2 linked regions of the Caenorhabditis elegans genome follow. The protein of the gene in region 2 interacts with the protein of the main gene of each other region in a pairwise test. Each region holds a gene or a part of one and is shown on either strand. Other genes may lie near its edges.

Evidence for each region. The genes of interacting proteins can lie anywhere in the genome.
Region 1: the proteins of rme-1 (region 2) and pcyt-2.1 interact in a two-hybrid assay, tested with the Caenorhabditis elegans proteins (one large-scale study listed by BioGRID).

Annotation. Positions count from the first base shown.
Region 1 is NC_003279.8:2,075,941-2,085,565, forward strand, and holds the start of pcyt-2.1 (ethanolamine-phosphate cytidylyltransferase), read left to right. Parts: upstream 1-3,018; 5' UTR 3,019-3,027; coding exon 3,028-3,086; intron 3,087-3,323; coding exon 3,324-3,417; intron 3,418-4,803; coding exon 4,804-4,960; intron 4,961-5,172; coding exon 5,173-5,369; intron 5,370-6,015; coding exon 6,016-6,036; intron 6,037-6,093; coding exon 6,094-6,135; intron 6,136-6,873; coding exon 6,874-7,089; intron 7,090-8,398; coding exon 8,399-8,476; intron 8,477-8,538; coding exon 8,539-8,610; intron 8,611-8,865; exon of another isoform or gene 8,866-9,087; intron 9,088-9,096; exon of another isoform or gene 9,097-9,215; intron 9,216-9,310; coding exon 9,311-9,550; 3' UTR 9,551-9,625. Other genes in the region: eif-2alpha (Eukaryotic translation initiation factor 2 subunit 1), read left to right, coding at 47-160.
Region 2 is NC_003283.11:6,207,301-6,216,774, forward strand, and holds the start of rme-1 (Dynamin-type G domain-containing protein), read left to right. Parts: upstream 1-2,867; 5' UTR 2,868-2,975; coding exon 2,976-3,170; intron 3,171-3,386; coding exon 3,387-3,852; intron 3,853-4,621; coding exon of another isoform or gene 4,622-4,637; intron 4,638-6,415; exon of another isoform or gene 6,416-6,631; intron 6,632-7,517; exon of another isoform or gene 7,518-7,526; coding exon 7,527-7,709; intron 7,710-7,766; coding exon 7,767-8,106; intron 8,107-8,255; coding exon 8,256-8,935; intron 8,936-8,984; coding exon 8,985-9,118; intron 9,119-9,179; coding exon 9,180-9,194; intron 9,195-9,474. Other genes in the region: W06H8.2 (NADH:flavin oxidoreductase/NADH oxidase N-terminal domain-containing protein), read left to right, coding at 1-536, 752-1,180.

The DNA of each region.
Region 1 (9,625 bases), on a different chromosome or scaffold from region 2:
ACTCCACCTTGAAAGCTAGAAAAACGAAAAAAAATTTTTCTTTCAGGATGGACTCATGGCTCCAAAGGGTTTGGATCAACAAGTCGACGCGGAAGAAGCCAGCAGAGATAACCGAAAGAAGGCCGGCGACGATGAAGACAGTGATGAGGAGGATGATTAATTATTTGAAAATTGAAAATTGAAAATTCCCATTGTTTTTTTTTTGCTTTTATTGGTGTAATTGGCTCCGATTCTTTCTGGACTATTATTATAGTATTATTCAATTTTGGCACTATCATTTCTCTTCATCTGTTCTGTTGTTTTGTTCCTTTCCCCCTTTAAATGTGGAGTACCGATATTTTAGACTTTGCTTTTTTAGACCTAAAATGACCCAAAACTACCGAATTTTGTAATGAGACGTTCTGAAAATTTTTTACAAAAAAAAGTTATGGCGGTTCAAAGTTTCGGAAAAAATACCCCTTTTCAGCTAAAATCGAAATTTTGCCAACTTCTCGGTGTCTCAGTGTTTCGAACTTAATTTTTATTTAATTATCACTTTTTAAACAATATTTTGGTCTTTTATTAGACGTTGATTAGTTGATTTTTCGATCATTGGGGCACAAAAATGTAACTTTTATTTGTCCCCCACTGGTCGAAAATGTGCTTACATTAACGAATAAATGTCTAATAAAAGACCAAAATATTGTTTAAAAAGTGATAATTAAATAAAACTTAAGTTCCAGACTCTACGACACCGAGAAGTTGGCAAAAATTTCGATTTTAGCTGAAAATGGGCTATTTTTCCCAGAACTTTGAACCGCCATAACCTTTTTTTGAGAAATTTTCAAAACGCCTCATTAGGTAGTTTTCGGTAGTATTTTGGGTCTAAAAATGCAAAATCTCAGGTTTCGATACTCCACCTTTGACCTTCTATTTATTGTCTCCCATCCCCCGTTTTTTTTCCATTTTTGTGGGCTCCCAATTCGTTATGAACAGTGAGCTGGTTTTTCATCGCAGGCTTCTTTTTCCAGCAGTTACGAAGCAGACGTTCTGTGTTCAATACTTGACCATTCTCCCCCCGCCAGAAATGATCGATAAGAGGTGGTCCTCGGAGACCCGCGCGCGTGCGCATAGGTCACCTGATCACGTGGTGAAGGGCAACTGCCATTGTTTCAACGCCGGAATATTTTTTGAACCTTTATTGATTATCTCAAGTTTCTTATCAAATTTTCGAAAATTTGCCTTTCTTTTGTGTAAGGGGAAAATGGAAAAATTACGATTTTTGTTTCCATCGGAAACAAACAAAATGTGTTTTGTGGTGTGACCAAACGTCATTTTGTGTTGTTTTCTTGAAGTTTCTAGACGCGAAAAATAGAAAAATAATTAAAACTTTCTATAAAATTACCAACTTTCAGATTTCGGAAGGATTTTATTAAAAAAATTGGCAACATTTTTGATTTTCAATGAAATTTTTTTAAGGTGGAGTGCGCCCAGTGGGAAAATTGCTTCACAATGGCCGAATATCATGATTAAAAAATTCAAAAAAAATTTCTAAATTTTATATGATTTTTTGAAAATTGAAAAATCTCAGTTTTCCCCTAATTTCTATTTGAATTACCGCCAATTGGGTTCGTTCGATGGAGCGCGCTTGCACTATTTATTTTATTTTTCTCATTATTTCACTGATTTTCTTCATTATTTGTGTATTTTTATCGGAAAAAGAGAGAAAAATGCAAGGTAAATGCTTATAAGATTTATTAAAAAGTAACTGAAAATGAGTAAAACTGTGGAATATGCTATTTTCAGGATTTTTGGCGTCGAAACACAGTTTTACCCATTTTCAGTAATTTTTTAATGACCAATTTGCATTTTTCTCTATTTTTCCGATTAAAAACCCCCAAAAAACGAATAAAATCAGTGAAATAATGAGAAAAATAAAATAAATAAATAAAAATAATGCAAGTGCGCTCCATCGAACAATTTCAATTGGCGGTAATTCAAATAGGAATTAGGCAAAAACTGAGATTTTTCAATTTTCAAAAAAAAATCATATAAAATCTAGAAAATTTTTTGAATTTTTTTATCGTGATATTCGGTCATTGTGACCCTATGGGCATGTTTTAAAGCAATTTCCCCACTAGGCTTACTGAGTAGAAAAATCCCGGAAGTGCAATTTTTGAATTTTTTGTGAGAAACTCCTCCACAATTCGTCATTGAAAATGAAAAAACTCGACTAAATATTTTTTCCATGACAGGCGGTCTGCTCCGGGTTCGACGTCCTTTTCGAACTGATAACGTCACAATTTTTTTCTTTTTTTTTCCGCATTTTTTCATTCCGATTGCTATTTAATCGGGTGATGTCGGGGTCACTCTTCAATGTCCGTTGACTACATTGTTTTAATTTATTTTTAATTGACTCCAAATTTTCCCCTGATTTCGAATATCTATGTGAAAAAATTCAAAAAAATTTCCCTGATTTTATATTTAAGCTTGAAATCGCTTGTACTAGCATCACTTTTTTTCAAATTCGCGCCCAAAGAAATTCGCATTGGAGCGCGCTTTGATTTTCTTCATTTAAATATTTTATTTATTTTTCGCCGAATGCAGTTTTTTGAAAACCAGTTTCATTCATTTTTGTCGAGCTTTTATCGATTTTTTTCGACAAAAATGAATAAAACTGGTTTAAACTGAATTCGGCGGAAAATAAATAAAATATTTAAATGAAGAAAATCAAAGCGCGCTCCAATGCGAATTTGTTTGGGCGCGAATTTTAAAAAAAGTGATGCGGGGGACAAATGAAATTCTACGATTTCAAGCTAAAATATAATATCAGGGAATTTTTTTTGAATTTTTTCACATAGATATTCGGAATTAGGGGAAAATTTGGAGTAATATAAAAAATATTTCACAGATTTCGGTACTCAACCTTTAAAATTTTAAGTGAGAAAATATTATTAACGTGATTTTAAATTTTTTTTTCTTCTGCAACAATTTGAACTTTGATCTTAAATTAAAAAAAAAAATTATTTTTAAAATTTCAGTTCAAAAATGAGCGGATTAGCACCAGATGGACTGCCCAAAGGAAATCGAGTTTGGGCTGATGGATGGTTGGTTTTTGGCTGGAATCGACACGTGGTGTCAAAGTGTCTCTTTTCGGTTTGATCTACAAAAAATGTGGGATTTTTTTTCCAAAAAAATGTGACGTCAGCACGTTCTTAACCAATTTTTGTTGAAAAGTCTGCGTCTCTTTTCCCGCATTTTTTGTAGATCTCTACGTAGATCACGCCGAAATGAGACACTTTGACACCATGTGAATTGAGCCTTAAAATGAATTAATTTTCCAGTTATGACATGGTGCATTTCGGCCATGCAAATCAATTACGGCAGGCTAAGCAGTTTGGACAGAAGTTAATTGTTGGAGTACATAATGATGAAGAGGTTTTCAATATTTTTTTCTCCCTAAAAAGAAGATGGGAATATGCAAATTTTTGTTAAAATATTAGCAGTTTTTAAGTCGTAACTCGTAAATTGCGAAATTTTTCCCTATAACACACTTGATCTACGCTGATCTACAAAAAATGCGGCAGAGTTCTTAACTCATTTCGTATGGTTAAGAACGTGCTGACGTCACATTTTAATGGGAGAAAAATTCCCGCATTTTTTGTAGATCAAACCGTAATGGGACAGGGACCCCTGGCACCACGTGGCTATAAATTATTTTAAAAATCAACTTCTGTGAATTATTTAAATTAATTTTCACTTTAAATTACGATAGTTCAGGTAAAAAATATTGTTTAAATAATTCAATTATTCAATTTTCCTTATTAAAAGCCACGAATTAAAAAGAAATTTCGTGACTTGACAAAAATTTTAAAGGAACACGCGTGTGTGACCCTTTAAGGAGTACTGTACTTTTAGCTATTTTGCAGTTTTTTTTCATTTTTTTCGAGATCGCGTCGAGACCCGAAATAGTTGGCATCTGGTAAATATTCTGATTGAATGGATATTTTCGTTATAATTTGGGGTTGCATGGAAAAAAAAAGAATATTTTACAATATTTTTCACTAAATATATCGTAAGTTAGGGTATATTGTGGTAATCATTAAAAATTTTTAAATTTCAGATCGAAATTTAGCAAAAAAAAAACATTTTTAGTGACTAAAAAAACATATTCGTTTCTAATTTCCAATTGAAATAGAAAAAAAAACGTTAAGTAATATTTTTTTTTATTGCAATTTTTTCCGACCTTTAAAGGTGGAGTACCGAAATCTGGGAAATATTTTTAATTGACCCCAAATTTTCCCCTAATTCCGAATATCGATGTGAAAAAAATTAAAATTCAAAAAAAATTCCCACGATTTTATATTTAAGCTTGAAATCGCCGAATTTCATTTGTTTTTCCCGAATCACTTTTTTCAAATGCGCGCCCAAAGAAATTCGCATTGGAGCGCGCTTTGATTTTCTTAATTTAAATAAATATTTTATTTATTTTTCGCCGAATTCAGTTTTTTAAAACCAGTTTCATTAATTTTTGTCGAAAAAACCGATAAAAACTCGACAAAAATGAATAAAACTGGTTTTTAATAAAACTGAATTCGGCGAAAAATAAATGAAATATTTAAATGAAGAAAATCAAAGCGCGCTCCAATGCGAAGTTCTTTGGGCGCGAATTTAAAAAGTGATTCGGGGGCACAAATGAAATTCGGCGATTTCAAGCTTAAATATAAAATCACGGAATTTTTTTTTTGAATTTTTGGAATTTTTTCACATCGATATTCGGAATCAGGGGAAAATTTGTAGTTTAACTCAAAAAAAAAATTCCAGATTCGACTACATAAAGGACCTCCAGTATTCAATGAACAAGAGCGATATCGAATGGTTGCCGGCATTAAATGGGTCGATGAAGTTGTGGAAAATGCGCCATACGCCACAACAGTCGAAACTCTGGACAAGTATGATTGTGATTTTTGTGTTCACGGAGGTAAAAATATTAATTAAAGTCCAATCACGGTTTGATCTACAAAAAAATCCGGGAATTTTTCGCCCAAAAGCAATGTGACGTCAGCACACGCTCTTAACCATGCGAAATCAGTTGAAAACTCTGCCGCATTTTTTGTAGATCAACCAGAAGATCAAGCCGAAATGAGACACTCTGACAGCACCACGTGTAAAAAAAGTAGATCAATTTTCCAGACGACATAACTCTAACCGCCGACGGAAAAGACACGTATCAAGAGGTGAAGGATCACCAACGATACAGAGAATGTAAGCGAACGTGTGGTGTCTCTACAACTGATTTAGTTGGCCGAATGCTTCTGCTCACCAAGAACCATCACACACAGGATGAGCACATCGAGCAACACGTCGAACGAGCTCGTTCGCTGAGCACGGTAAGTCGGAATTATTGGAAGACTTGTGCCACTGGCTGGGGGGAAATTGCTTTAAAACATGGTTTAAAAAATTCGAAAAAAAATTTTCTAAATTTATTGGATTTTTTGAAAATTGGAAAAATCTCAGTTTTCACATGATTTCTATTTATTTGAATTTCCGCCAAAATTATGTGTTCGATGGAGCGCGCTTGCATTGTTTTTACTAATATATTTCATTTTTTCTCAGTATTTCACTGATTTTCTTGTATTTTCATCGGAAAAAAAAGAGAAAAATGAAAGATGAATGCAAGTTGTTCATTAAAAAAAAGTTATTGAAAATGGGTTTTACCACAGTGTTTCCCATTTTCAATAATTTTTTAATAAACAATTTGCATTTATCTTTCATTTTTTTCTCACTTTTTCCGATAAAAATACAAGAAAATCAGTGAAATAATGAGAAAAAATGAAATAAATTAATAAAAATAATGCAAGTGCGCTCCATCGAACACATCATTTCGGCGGAAATTCAAATAGGAATTAGGGGGAAAACTGAGATTTTTTCAATTTTCAAATTTTTTTGAATTTTTTAAAATCATGTTTTAAAGCAATTTCCCAACTGGCGCTACTACGATTTTCAATTAATTTTTAAAAATTTTTAAAATTTTAGGCTATTCTGGAGTACAGCAAGGTAAGCGTAGCCGGCTGCTTGTCGTTTTTTCCAGTTTTGCAAAGCTTAATTTTTCAGCGTATGCAGTCTAAAAAACGGCGTCTGAATAGGCTTATAGCGGTAATGGACCAAATTTTGAATTTTAGTGGGCCGCACGGATTTCTGGCTTCCCTCATAAATTGAAATGGAAGAGTTTTTGCCGAACTAGGCCATGTGGATTTACGGCGCGTTGCGTGTCGCGTCGCGGTTCGATTTTAGTTGTAAAACTAAATGTATTTGTCCGTGTGGAGTACACCACTTTCCCAAGGCGATTGTCAATGGAGCGCGAAAAATTCAATGAGGAAGCCCGGAACCCTATGGGGCTTAAAATATTATTTTTTTTTCAGAACAAGCTTAGAATCTACTTTTTCTATTACGTGTTTATCCAGAGATGAGAAAAATGGCCATATCTGCCGCGCAAATGAATCTGCGGGAAGAGACAAAACTACTGTAGTTTTTAACCAATTTGTGTAGATTTACGAGCTATTGCGTCATCGTTGAATTTAATTTTGAGCCGCAATTTTTAATTTTCAGGCGTTTTTCTAAATTTTTTTGTGTGTTTTCTTTTAAGATTTTTCAATAAATAGATAAATTTCAATATAAAAACGTGTGAAACGCCTGAAAATTAAAAATTGCGGCTCAAAATTAAATTCAACGATGACGCAATAGCTCATAAATCTACACAAATTGGTTGAAAACTACAGTAGTTTTGTCTCTTCCCGCGGGTTCATTTGCGCGTCAGATATGGCGATTTTTCTCATCTCTGGATAAACACGTAATAAGTACAATTTAGTGTAAATTTTCTAAATTTCTTTTCAGGACAACGTTGCAATGTCCCCCTGGACACGTGTCTCGCGCTTCATCCCAACAACGACAACGATTCTCGAGTTTGCCGAAGGAAGACCGCCAAAACCGACGGACAAGGTTGTCTACGTGACCGGATCGTTTGATTTGTTCCATATTGGACATCTGGCGTTCCTGGAAAAAGCCAAAGAGTTTGGAGATTACCTGATTGTGGGAATTTTATCGGATCAGGTAGAGCGTTTTTGTTTAGAAAATTTCTGGGAAATAATTTTAATTGACTCCCCAATTTTCCCCTGATTCCGGAAAAAATTCAAAAAAAATCCCTGATTCAATCCCTTTAAGCTTGAAATTGCCGAATTTCATTTGTGCGCGCTAAAAAAATTCGCATTGGAGCGCGCTTGCATCGTTTGATTTTTTTTTTCGCCGAATTCAATTTTTTAAAACCAGTTTCATTCATTTTTGTCTAAATTTTATCTGTTTTTTTCGACAAAAATTAATGAAGCTGGTTTTAGAAAACTGAATTCGGCGAAAATAAATAAAAATTTAAATGAAGAAAATCAAACGATGCAAGCGTGCTCCAATGCGAATTTGTTCTTTTTTTGAAACAAAAAGTTTGATTTTAAAATTTAAATAAAAAAATGTGATCTACCCAAATTTTAAAAGTTTCTTTTTGTGATTTCCATGAGAAAAGGCGTTAAAAATATCAATTTTTCGTGAAAAGGGTTAATTGATGTGCCATCCTCTCAAAAACTTCACAAAAATTCAAATTCTTCAATTTTTTATTTTTTATCTCAGCCATCAAATTTGCGATGGAGCGCATTTGCAAGGTGCTTTTTTTTATTTAAAAATTTCTATGCCGAAAAATGAAGTTAAAATAGCGATTAACCCGTTTTCACCTCAAAAATGCATTTGTGATCTACCACACCTGGCGGTAATTTCGTAAATTTCTCTGTAAATTTCTTTTAAAAGTGGAGTAGCGAAATATGTGGAAATATTTTTAATTTACTCCAAATTTTCCCCTGATTCCGGAAAAAATTCGAAAAAAATTTCCCTGATTTTATATTTAAGCTTGAAATCGGCGAATTTCATTTGTGCCCCCGCATCACTTTTTTGAAATTCGCGCCCAAAAAATTCGCATTGGAGCGCACTTGCATCGTTTGATTTTCGCCGAATTCAATTTTTTAAACCTGCTTCAATAATTTTTGTCGAAAAAACCGATAAAAAATCGACAAAAATTAATGAAACTGGTTAAAAAACTTGAATTCGGCGAAAATAAATGAAGAAAATGAAAAAAAAAAACGGTACAAGCGCGCTCCAATGCGAGTTTCTTTGGGCGCGCATTCAAAAAAGTGATGCGGGGGCACAAATGAAATTTGGCGATTTCAAGCTTAAATATAAAATCAGGGGAAATTTTTTTGATTAGATATTCGGAATCAGGGGAAAATTTGGAGTCGATTAAAAATATTTCCCAACTTTCGGCATTTTTACATTAAAAAAATGAGAAATCTACCACAATCGAATAAAACTATCAATTTCACAGACTGTCAATCAATACAAGGGAAGCAATCACCCCATAATGTCGATTCACGAGCGTGTACTATCCGTTCTGGCCTATAAGGTTTGTAGTTTGAACTTTTCGAAATAAATTGAAAAAATTGAAAATTAAAAAATTTTTTTCAGCCAGTGAATGAAGTTGTGTTCGGTGCTCCATATGAGATTACTTCTGACATTTTGGATCAGTTTAATGTTCAGGTAAATGCTGTAAATGTTCGAGAAATTTGAATTTGAATTTAAATAAACAAAAAATTCAAATTCAAATTCATGTTTTAATAAATAAATTAATTCTCCATACATGATAATCCAATTTTTTCATCCAAAATTAATGTAGAAATGAAGAAAAAAGCTTGTTCTATCTGAAAATTATATTTATTTCTGTTGAAAAGCTTGAAACAGGCCTTTGAGGCGTTTTTGAAGCATTTCCACAGAAATAAATAGTATTTTCAGATAGAACAAGCCTTTTTCTACTTGCCTACATTAATTTTGGATGAAAAATTGGATTATCATGTAGGAAATAAGACGTTTTGTGCGTTTACAGTCCGTGTTGAAAAGTTATCAAACGCGCGCGCGCGAGAGAGTGTGCGAAACGAGGAGAGTCGCACGCAATAGATAGAGGCACGCGAAACCCGCGAGGTGTCGGCCGGCGCGTAAAAGTACCCAACAGTGCCGACCAGCGCTCCTCAAGCCTCCTGGCGCTGCTATTAGCCGGGATTCATAGGCTGGCGATGATTGAGATTGTTCCCACACGCAATTTCTCCTGATCCACATGAAGGCTAAACTTCCTTGGACGTCTGAGCCGCCTTTAATAATGATTATTAATGATTAATTTTGAGAATTAAGGGAAATTATTGGATTTTCCATTTTCTCCTGGAAATATCAAGGTTTAAACTTTCAGGCAGTTATCAACGGATTCCGTGACAACAACTCCTCAGTCGTCAACTCATCGCTTGCATCGATCGACCCGTTCGCAGAAGCCAAACGTCGTGGAATCTACCATGAAGTGGACTCGGGAAGTGATATGACCACCGATTTGATTATCGATCGAATCATCCATCACCGTCTCGAGTATGAGACACGAAATAAGAAGAAGGAGAAGAAAGAAGCTGATGTGGCAAAAGCCATGAACTTGATTTAAATATTTCTTTATTTTTTTAAGCATTTAATGCCTATTAATGCCTATTAATCAATGCTTTTCAATTCAATTCTAGTC
Region 2 (9,474 bases):
TAACTGTAAATAAAACTCCGTTCTCTGCATCCGATGTTCAATTGGATAAGGAAGTTCGTTTTATTGGATTTGGAAAACCCGTCCCATTAACACCTGAACAAATTAAAACAGAAGTCATTGAACGTTTTGTTTATGCAGCGAAATATGCCTATGAAACTGGATTCGACGGAGTACAGCTTCATGGAGCTCACGGATACCTGTTGGCTCAATTCACATCGCCCACTACTAATAAGAGAACCGATCATTATGGTGGCTCAGTTTCAAATAGACAACGAATTGTTCTGGAAATATTTGATGCAATTAGAAAAGAAATTCCAGCTTCTACAGGTTTTTTGATTGGGTTGAAGACCAATTCAGTTGAATTTCAATCAGAGGGAACAACTGTGGATGATGCTATTGAAATGTGCAGGGCTTATGAAAATATTGGATTTGACTTTGTTGAATTGTCCGGTGGAACTTATGAACAACTGGCATTCCAGCATCTCAAAGAATCTACAAAACGAAGAGAGGCATTCTTCCTGGAATTCGCTGAAAAGGTAAGGACATCAGCATTGAAAGTAGATAGTCCCACTGAACCTTTTGAACAATTTCTGATAATATTTTAGTATTTTTCTGAGAGTTTTAAATTTAACTAATTGTAAGTTTTAATTGTTTTTAATTGGACATTATAGGGGCATACATATACTCTACCCCTAAATAACTTCTTTCTCGGTTCCGTGCGGTACTAATTTTTATCATGTTTTTTTTTCAGATTCGCCCAGTTTTCAAAAACACAGTTGTCTACTTGACTGGAGGTTTCCGTACAGTTAACGCAATGGTTGAAGCTATCAAATCCGGAGCCACACAAGGAATTGGTTTGGGTAGACCGATTACTGCGGAGCCAGATCTCCCAAAGAAAATTCTGCAAAAGTTGGCCCCTTCAGCTGTCTTCGATGCAATTGATCAAAGTGAATTTGTCCTCTCACTTCTTGCGAGCAACACTCAAATTGAACAAATGGGACGGAACTCGCTGAAAGAAGCAAACAATGATGTCACTTACGGACTCAGTGACTTCAGTGATGAAGATACTGTGAAAAGATTTGGAAAAGCAGTTGAAGAATTCGCCGAACTTTTGAAAATTCAAGCATCTCGAGGTGTCGCAATTCCAAATGTGATCACATTCGAAGGAGTGAAAGCATAAATTATGCATGTTTTTAATCTGTTTTTTTCAAAATAAATTTGTAGCGAGATACATAAATGTAAATAAATTATTGTTGATTTACTTGTTTCATACATCCATCATTTTTCATAAATCTGTCGAAGTTTCAGGTTAGGATTTATTTTCTTGTGTAAGGTGGGGAAATAATCTGGAATTCTTTTAGAAGAAACTGTCAAAAAAACCGTAAACTCGAAATTATTTGATTGAATCATAGAGCCATTCTACGGGAATATTGAATGAAACACAATTGATCAATGCATTGAAAAAATCCAATATTACGTCAATAGGATTTACATAAACAGCGTACAATTGACACTATCATCTACTGAAAAAACGAAGTTAAAACCTTCAAAAGTTTCCATTCACGACTGTCATTATTGTATAAAATGTATAATTTTTTCCGTACTGTTCCACGAGCTAATCGAAATGAAATTACGTTCTATCCAGATTATGAAGGTGAGAAATGACGTAGCTGTGCAAAATTTTTGAAGCTCTAATTTTGTTTGAAAATAATTGAAAGAGTTTTGATAATAGAGTTTTTTCTGAATTTTAACACCTACGCAACTATGATTTTGTCCATAATATTGGGAAAAATGTATACGAAATATGGGAATCCGCATCGATTTTTGTTTTGTTCGTTTGTGTGCCGCTTTTCGGAAGGCAGCCACATTTATGTTCAAACATTGACCGTTTTGTCGACGGGGATATCAAAATTGTTGGATTTCTTATAGTTTGTAGCAATATTTTATTTATTTTTAACAATATTTTGGTTAATTGTTTTTGTATTAATTTTATAATGATTAAGTTTTGGATTGATTCTTCTTGGTTTATCAGAAAGAAAGAAAACATCGTATGTTTGCGCATCCACTCAATTCAATGTTCGCTCACAAATGTGCCCATTTCTGTGCATTTGAAACGAATATTTTTGAACTACATATATAATTACTCGTAGAGCTCATTAAAGTTTTCAAGTGTACCACTTTTGGATATAATTCTTTGGGTGATAAAATTCACCTCGAACATTCAACCTTGGCACAAAAAATTCCTGAATTCACCTGATTTAATTAATTCATATCATTTTTTGTGATTTTTTATTAGGCCACGTTGCACAACTTTTTATGTGTATTGCTTAAGCACAACAAAAAATTTACACATCGTTTTATAATCAACTTTTAAAAATGTTGTTTTTCAGCTTTACATTCTAATCTTTGGTCATCTAAATTAACATTTTTCATTCAATGTGAATCATAATCTCTATTGAATCTCTCTTCTCACACTTGTTACATCCTATTTCATCAGAAAATCAGCTCTTTTCAAATTGAATATTCTCCCGCTTACCTTTAAATGATCTATTAATTTTTGACTCCACTCAAAACCTATGGGATGTCAACTTTGTCGACCAACAGTAACAGACGAAGATATCGATAAAACTCTGGTTATATTCCGTAAGAAAAGCACCAATCCCTTTGAAAAAACTTCTGAGAGATTCTCTTCAACAAACCCATTCGGAGGTGAAATTGGTGAGTCATTTCCTATTTTTAATTCTATTTGTATTTCATCATGTTCTGGAATGTTTCCTCCTGTTATCATTGTTCTCCTTATGCTTTTTTTTCTTTGCAAAGTGAATTGTCGCGAAATAAAAATTGATAACAAAAAAAGTGTGCGAAACTTGTCTCCGCCTCGCTTCTCTTCTTGACAGTTTTTTGCCTCGAAACTTGGAACATTTCATCGACTTTTTACTGGATCATTTCCTATTCCTCTTACAACAAAAGTATCGATGGAGTCTGTGAATAGTGAAGAACACAAAATAAACGAGGCACCCGCGCCACCCGTCATTGTCATTAATAGCTCCACGAAAGAAGAGCAGGAGGCAACACAAACCGACAGAATAGAAGGGCAAATGAAGAAAATCGATTCGGTCTTTGATGAGCAGAATGTAGCGTCATTGGAAGGTGTCAATTCAAAAAATGAGGTGGGTATTTCGTTTTACTTTTGATTAATTTATTTTTGGTATACACAAATTTTCATAATGTTTACATTTTCTCTCCAACCCTGTCACATTTGGTTTTAATTTTGCGTTTTTGCAAAAGGTCGGCTTCCACCAAAATGAAGCAGTAGCAAGAAATTTGTACTGTGCACTTTTAGGATTTTTTTTTCACCACTTTAAATAAATTGTAACGATTTTCAGATTTCCGGATCGGTATCAAGTTCCAGTTTTGAGGAGCTGAACGCAGAGACTGAAGATTTATCAGAAAGAAGTGAAGTCGAAAAAGACGAAGATCTAGGGAGAGTTGTTGAAGAACATAAAGAACCGGCACAAGTTCCAGTAGAATCGGAAACTCCGGAAACTTCTAAAAAAGAAATCCACCAAGAAGAAGAAATCTCTGAACTTGAGAAAGTTCCTGAAACAGTTGAAGAAGAAATTGAAGTCGTCAATACTTCCGTAGAAATTACTGAAGTAAAGAAGGAAGTGATCGAAGAAGTTAAGATCTCAGGCCTCAAAGAAGAAGAAACTCCGGTTCCAAAAATGAGAGCTCAGCAGCAAGTTCCAGTTGCTGCTGACAGGCCAATCAGGCGGCTTTCGATTGCAAGGGCATCTATGATGACCCCAAAAGCATCACCTAAACTTGCAAAGTATATGGAGCCGGTTAGAGGTAGATTTGTAGATTTTTGTTCATATAATGTTTTATGCGTCTACTTTTCTGCACTTTTTTAAACAACTAGTTGGAGTAATGTGGCTATCAAATTTAGTATTTTTCCTGCCAAATCCCAATGTCGATCTGCGATCGCAGTTCGAAAGTTTAAAACAACCTTTCCCTATTAGTATTGCACCCCACTATTTGACTTTGACAGATTATATAGGCAGAGGTTTTTTTCTGAATCTGAAGATGACAGTGCATATCAAAAAACCATTGCATCACTTTTCTTTGTTTTCATTCTGGAAAACGAAAGAACGCTTTTCAAAAGCATTTCCCAATGCCATTCCTTTTCTATTTGGAGTTTCTATCCTGCAGACACTTGCTATTCTTCCCACACAGTTCGATTTTCCATTGATTGAAAAAATTCCTGACAAATGGAACTTCAAACCTTTTTGCTTAAAGAGCTGCACTTTGCATTATTCTTTATCATTGTGAGCATCATTCGTTGACAGGTCACACTGATAAACATTTGGTCAGTGCCAATCAACGCATTTTCATACTCTCGCTATACAACTTTTCTTTCACATCCTCCCAGTACTGGAACACCATGTGCTCTGCTAACTTGTAAATAATTGTGTGCAAACTGTTTTATGTTTGCTCCGTTGAGAGGCAAAAGAGACAAGACCGCCCGTCATAGCGCGAGAACAAAACTTTTATAAGTATTACAAGAATTTTGACGTGACCAACTGATCGGTATCTGTTCTATTTTTTCGGGCATTTCGAAATGAGTAATCTTTTTGGTAAGTATGAACAGAAAATGATCATTTTTAGAAACTCTAACACCTAAATGGATAGCGTCCGAGTTTTTTGGAAAAGTTATAAAATTGATGATCAAGGTAAGGTTTTTAGGTTGTGAAACGGCAGACTTTTCAATCGCGTTATATTTTGATAATCTAGTTATGGCTTTCAAATCCAGAAGTTTCTGATAAAAGAACGAGAAAATCAAAAATTATTTTTAGCTCTACCTTCAAGTTTATATTTTTTGTATTTGACATTATATGATTTTCAATTTCACCTCAATTTCACGAGATATTAATCAAACGCTTGAAAGCTTGAATTTCTTGAAAATTTTCTTGTAAATCATCTCATATTCTCGTTCAAAAGGCAAACGAAACATGGTTTCCAGGTTCTATATGGTGTATTTTTTTCAAACATTTCAAGCTTTCTAGCTCCAACGTTCTATTTATATTTTGAAATTTTGATAAATTCTCCATTTTTTGAAAAATTCACACGGTCTAACGAGCTAATCATCATGCCGCAATCATCGCATCTTTCTTTTTCTTTTCTTCTTTTTTCTCTTCTTTTCGTTTCTTCCATCCCCCTACTCGAACAATTCAATGAAATAACAAATCGGTTACTTTATTTTGATTCAATTCTTTCCTCCTTCTACCAAATCGTCTCAAACATCGTCCGCTTGCGGTTGTCTCATTTTTCTTGATGCATGACCCCTGTGGAATCGATAGTGCACAAGCAGTTGCTAGAGTTCAGTGCTCCGTTGAAAGAGAAAGCGAGAGCATTCACGTTATATAAACTCAAACTAAACTTTTCTCTTCCGGCCTGCTTTCAATTTTATTTCTTCCAAAGAATTTTTGAGTTGGGTCTCTTGATTGATAGTGGTTTAGTTTTTGATTTTGACTACTGTATACCTATAGGTAATGCATTTGAAGTTTGTTATTTCCGGGTGATTTTCTTTAAAGTTTTTGACTTATTGTTAGATAGTTTTTCGGAATTTCAGTTACGATTCACACTCCAAACATGAAAAGTTGAATTAGTTCAACACAACTTTTACCTTTTCAATTTTCTATCTAGTGGAACAGGACACCGATTATACAGAAAATATTGTAGTTAGAGCAATTGAATTGTTATTGTGTTGAAATTGTATTATGTTATTTCTCAAGCAACCTCGTGATTTTACAACAAAATATTTTTATGTCGATTTCTAGTTGGAACGCAGAATACTACTATACGTCATTCTATTGATTGCATATTTTAATTATATTTAGTTACTAATTTCAATTTAATTTGACTAAATCTAACACAATTTGTCCTACTTATTCATCAGTTCCATGAAATTCCAAGCAAATATTGTGGTTTCATATTTACACTGCGACCATTTGATATATGCGCTGGTTTTCCAACAAAAACCATTCACAGCAAGCAATTCCGACAATGCTTTTTTTGTGTGTGTTCTCTTTTTTTCCCCATAAGATCTTTGCAGTTCGGCCGGTGGGTGATGGTGGTCAGTTCGCGTATTATTTTGACTTTTTCGTCTGCGGTCTACTTGGTCCTTAGACTCTCTTGTCTGGCTTTTGCGCAGTCTGTCGGTCGATCTATTTTCTCGATTCGACTACCTGATCCATTTCTAATTTTTCCTCTTTTTCTGTGATTCTTGATTTTTACGCTCTCTCGGCAATTTGTCATGTATAGAACGTCAACTATTGATGTGACCAGATGATTGTACTGTGTTCCCGATTTCATATAATTCATGAGCCTTTTAAGATGAATAAAACATTCCTCAAAGAATATGACTTCAGTCTCAAGCTTCTGATACTACATTGACCAGTTCCTAATGATCTTTAGCATTCTAATCACTCAATTAACATAAATTTTCTCAACCCATCTAATTTCAAAACCAATTGACGGTCTCTAATTGATGTTCTAAATGTTCTAATTTTCTATTGATATTTCCTGTTTGTTTTACGATCCTCCTCCCAGTTAGTGCATCATCATCAATAGGCCGCCACGTCATCTCTGCCCTCTCTGTGTCCATTCGCCTACATCTCTGTTCACACAGTGAATGAACACACTAGTCGTCTGTCAGTATCTGCGTCTCTTACCACATTTCGTGAAAGTCCCACTCTCTCACACCGCCTGATTGTTGGCTGGCGGCTATGATGACTCACTTGGTTTCAGTTCAACACGAGAATAGAGCCCCTATTTCGCAATTTCGATTTCTTTGGGTCTCACTGGGGGATTCTGAATTTAGTCATTCTATAAATTGGCCGGAAAATCTAGAAGAATTTTCAGTTTTTTCGAACTTAGGATGACGAAACTTGTATCACTTCAAGCTCGGTATTTTTCTGTAGATAACTTCTTTTTTTTTTCAGTGTTACATCAATTTAAAATTCAGAATTTATTAGGTTTTCTAACCAAAATATTGAGAATCTTCGTTTTTTTTTTGTTAAAGTAATGTCGTTTACTGTGTTTTTTTTTTTAGTTTTTCAATTCCAGCTGTACATATTTATTCACCACCACCACGGAAATCGAATTTCTGTTGAAAATTTACGTCAGATCTCGATTCATTTTATTTTTCTCAAACAAAAACTATTTTTAATATTAAAAATAACTTTTTATAACAAAAAACGAAAAATGGATGAGAGTAAGTCTAGGCCTGCAACTTTACTTTCTACAGTAACCTTAAGACGCATATACGAAACACATTTTGTTACTCGCTTGTTTTTGTTTTCCTCCCGCGAAATTTCCTTAATTTCTTGAAATATCTCACATGTTCCGTTCAATTTTCCGCCAATTCTCACCTCCTCAACATCTTGGTAAATTTTAAATAAATAAATTTAACATTAGTTTTAATCAAAATCTCATGATTTATTCTTAATTTTATCAGTTTTCAGAAGAAGGACAAAAGAAAAAGAAGACGAGAAGTATGTTTTCGTGGCTTGGTGGTGATTCGTCAAAAAAGAAGAACAAGGAAGTTTTGGAGACGGTTTCCGAAGGTCTCCGCAAGATTTACAAGCAGAAACTCCTGCCTCTTGAAGAATTCCACAAGTTTCACGACTTTCACAGCCCAGCTCTCGGTAATTTGAAATTATTTAGCATATTTATATTTTCAAAATAACGTTCCTTCTTTTCAGATGATCCGGATTTCGATGCCAAACCAATGATCCTGCTCGTCGGGCAATATTCGACCGGAAAAACGACTTTCATCCGTTACCTCCTCGAGTCCGATTTCCCAGGAATCCGAATCGGTCCAGAGCCAACCACCGACAGATTCATTGCTGTGATGCATGGTGATGAAGAAGGAAGCATTCCTGGAAATGCTCTTGTTGTTGACGCAAAGAAGCAGTTCCGTGCTCTGTCAGGATTCGGAAACGCATTTTTGAATCGATTCCAGTGCTCGACTCTTCCAAATCAAGTTCTCGAAAGTGTAACGATCGTTGATACACCTGGAATCTTATCCGGAGAAAAGCAAAGGTTTGTTTTAATTTTTAAATAATCGGAACACTACTTTCAAGGAGTTGTCCCCATTTGATGAAGCTCCAATAACTTATTTGTTTACAAAAACGAATGCTTGTTGGATCGAATTTCCACGATGCAAAAATAAAAATACTTTTTTATTCCAGAATCGATCGCGGATATGATTTCACTGGAGTTTTAGAGTGGTTCGCTGAACGTGTCGATCGTATCATTCTTCTTTTCGATGCTCACAAGCTTGACATTTCCGATGAGTTCAAGAGATGTATTGAAGCATTGGCTGGAAACGAGGATAAAATACGAATTGTTCTCAACAAGTCAGACATGGTTGATCATCAACAGTTGATGAGAGTCTACGGAGCTCTGATGTGGTCACTGGGAAAAGTATTCAAAACTCCAGAAGTTTCACGTGTCTATTTGGGATCATTCTGGGATCATCCACTTCACTACGATCTCAATCGTCGACTTTTCCAAGACGAGCAGCACGACCTGTTCCAAGATCTTCAAGCATTGCCACGTAACGCTGCTCTCCGAAAGTTGAACGATCTGATCAAGAGAGCTCGTCTCGCCAAGGTTCACGCATACATTATTGCTGAGCTTCGTAAGCAAATGCCATCGATGATCGGAAAGGATAAGAAGAAGAAGGATTTGATCCAAAATCTTGACAAGATCTACGAGCAACTCCAGAGAGAACACAATATATCTCCAGGAGACTTCCCAGATGTGAACAAGATGAGAGAGAAGCTTCAAACACAGGACTTTAGCAAATTCAATCCACTCAAGCCAAAGCTTTTGGAGGTTGTCGATGGAATGCTTGCCACTGATATAGGTTTGTATCAGGATAGGCTTATGAATAATTATCTTTGTATTATTTTCAGCACGATTGATGGCTCAAATTCCAAAGGAAGAAGCCGCAGCCCCAGCAGGATCAAACGGAAGCGCCGATCCAACTGTCAGAGGAGGAGCCTTCAGCCAAACAACAGAAGCAGAAACTCCGTTCGGTTTCGGACGTGTAAGTATTAGATTTCCTGCATACTGTCCATACAGTATTGTCTCAAATATAATTATTTTAGTATGATGCACGCTGGGTGAGCTGATTTAGTTTTTGGTGGCGGATAGGTTTTAAATGGAATAGAGTGGCATGAGTTGGAGGAGTGACTCTATGCTTTCTGTTCTAGAACTGTACCCTTTGGAGCTTGTGGATTTGATTAATTATTAATCAAAATTGTGTTCGACTAATTGAGCACTATTGTTGATGAAATGTGTGTAAAATCGTCCCACCTCACTTCTCGCTTATTATCCCATTTCTTTTTTACCTTACACACAATCCCTTTCCTTTTTCCACAACGAAACACGATCACCTAATTT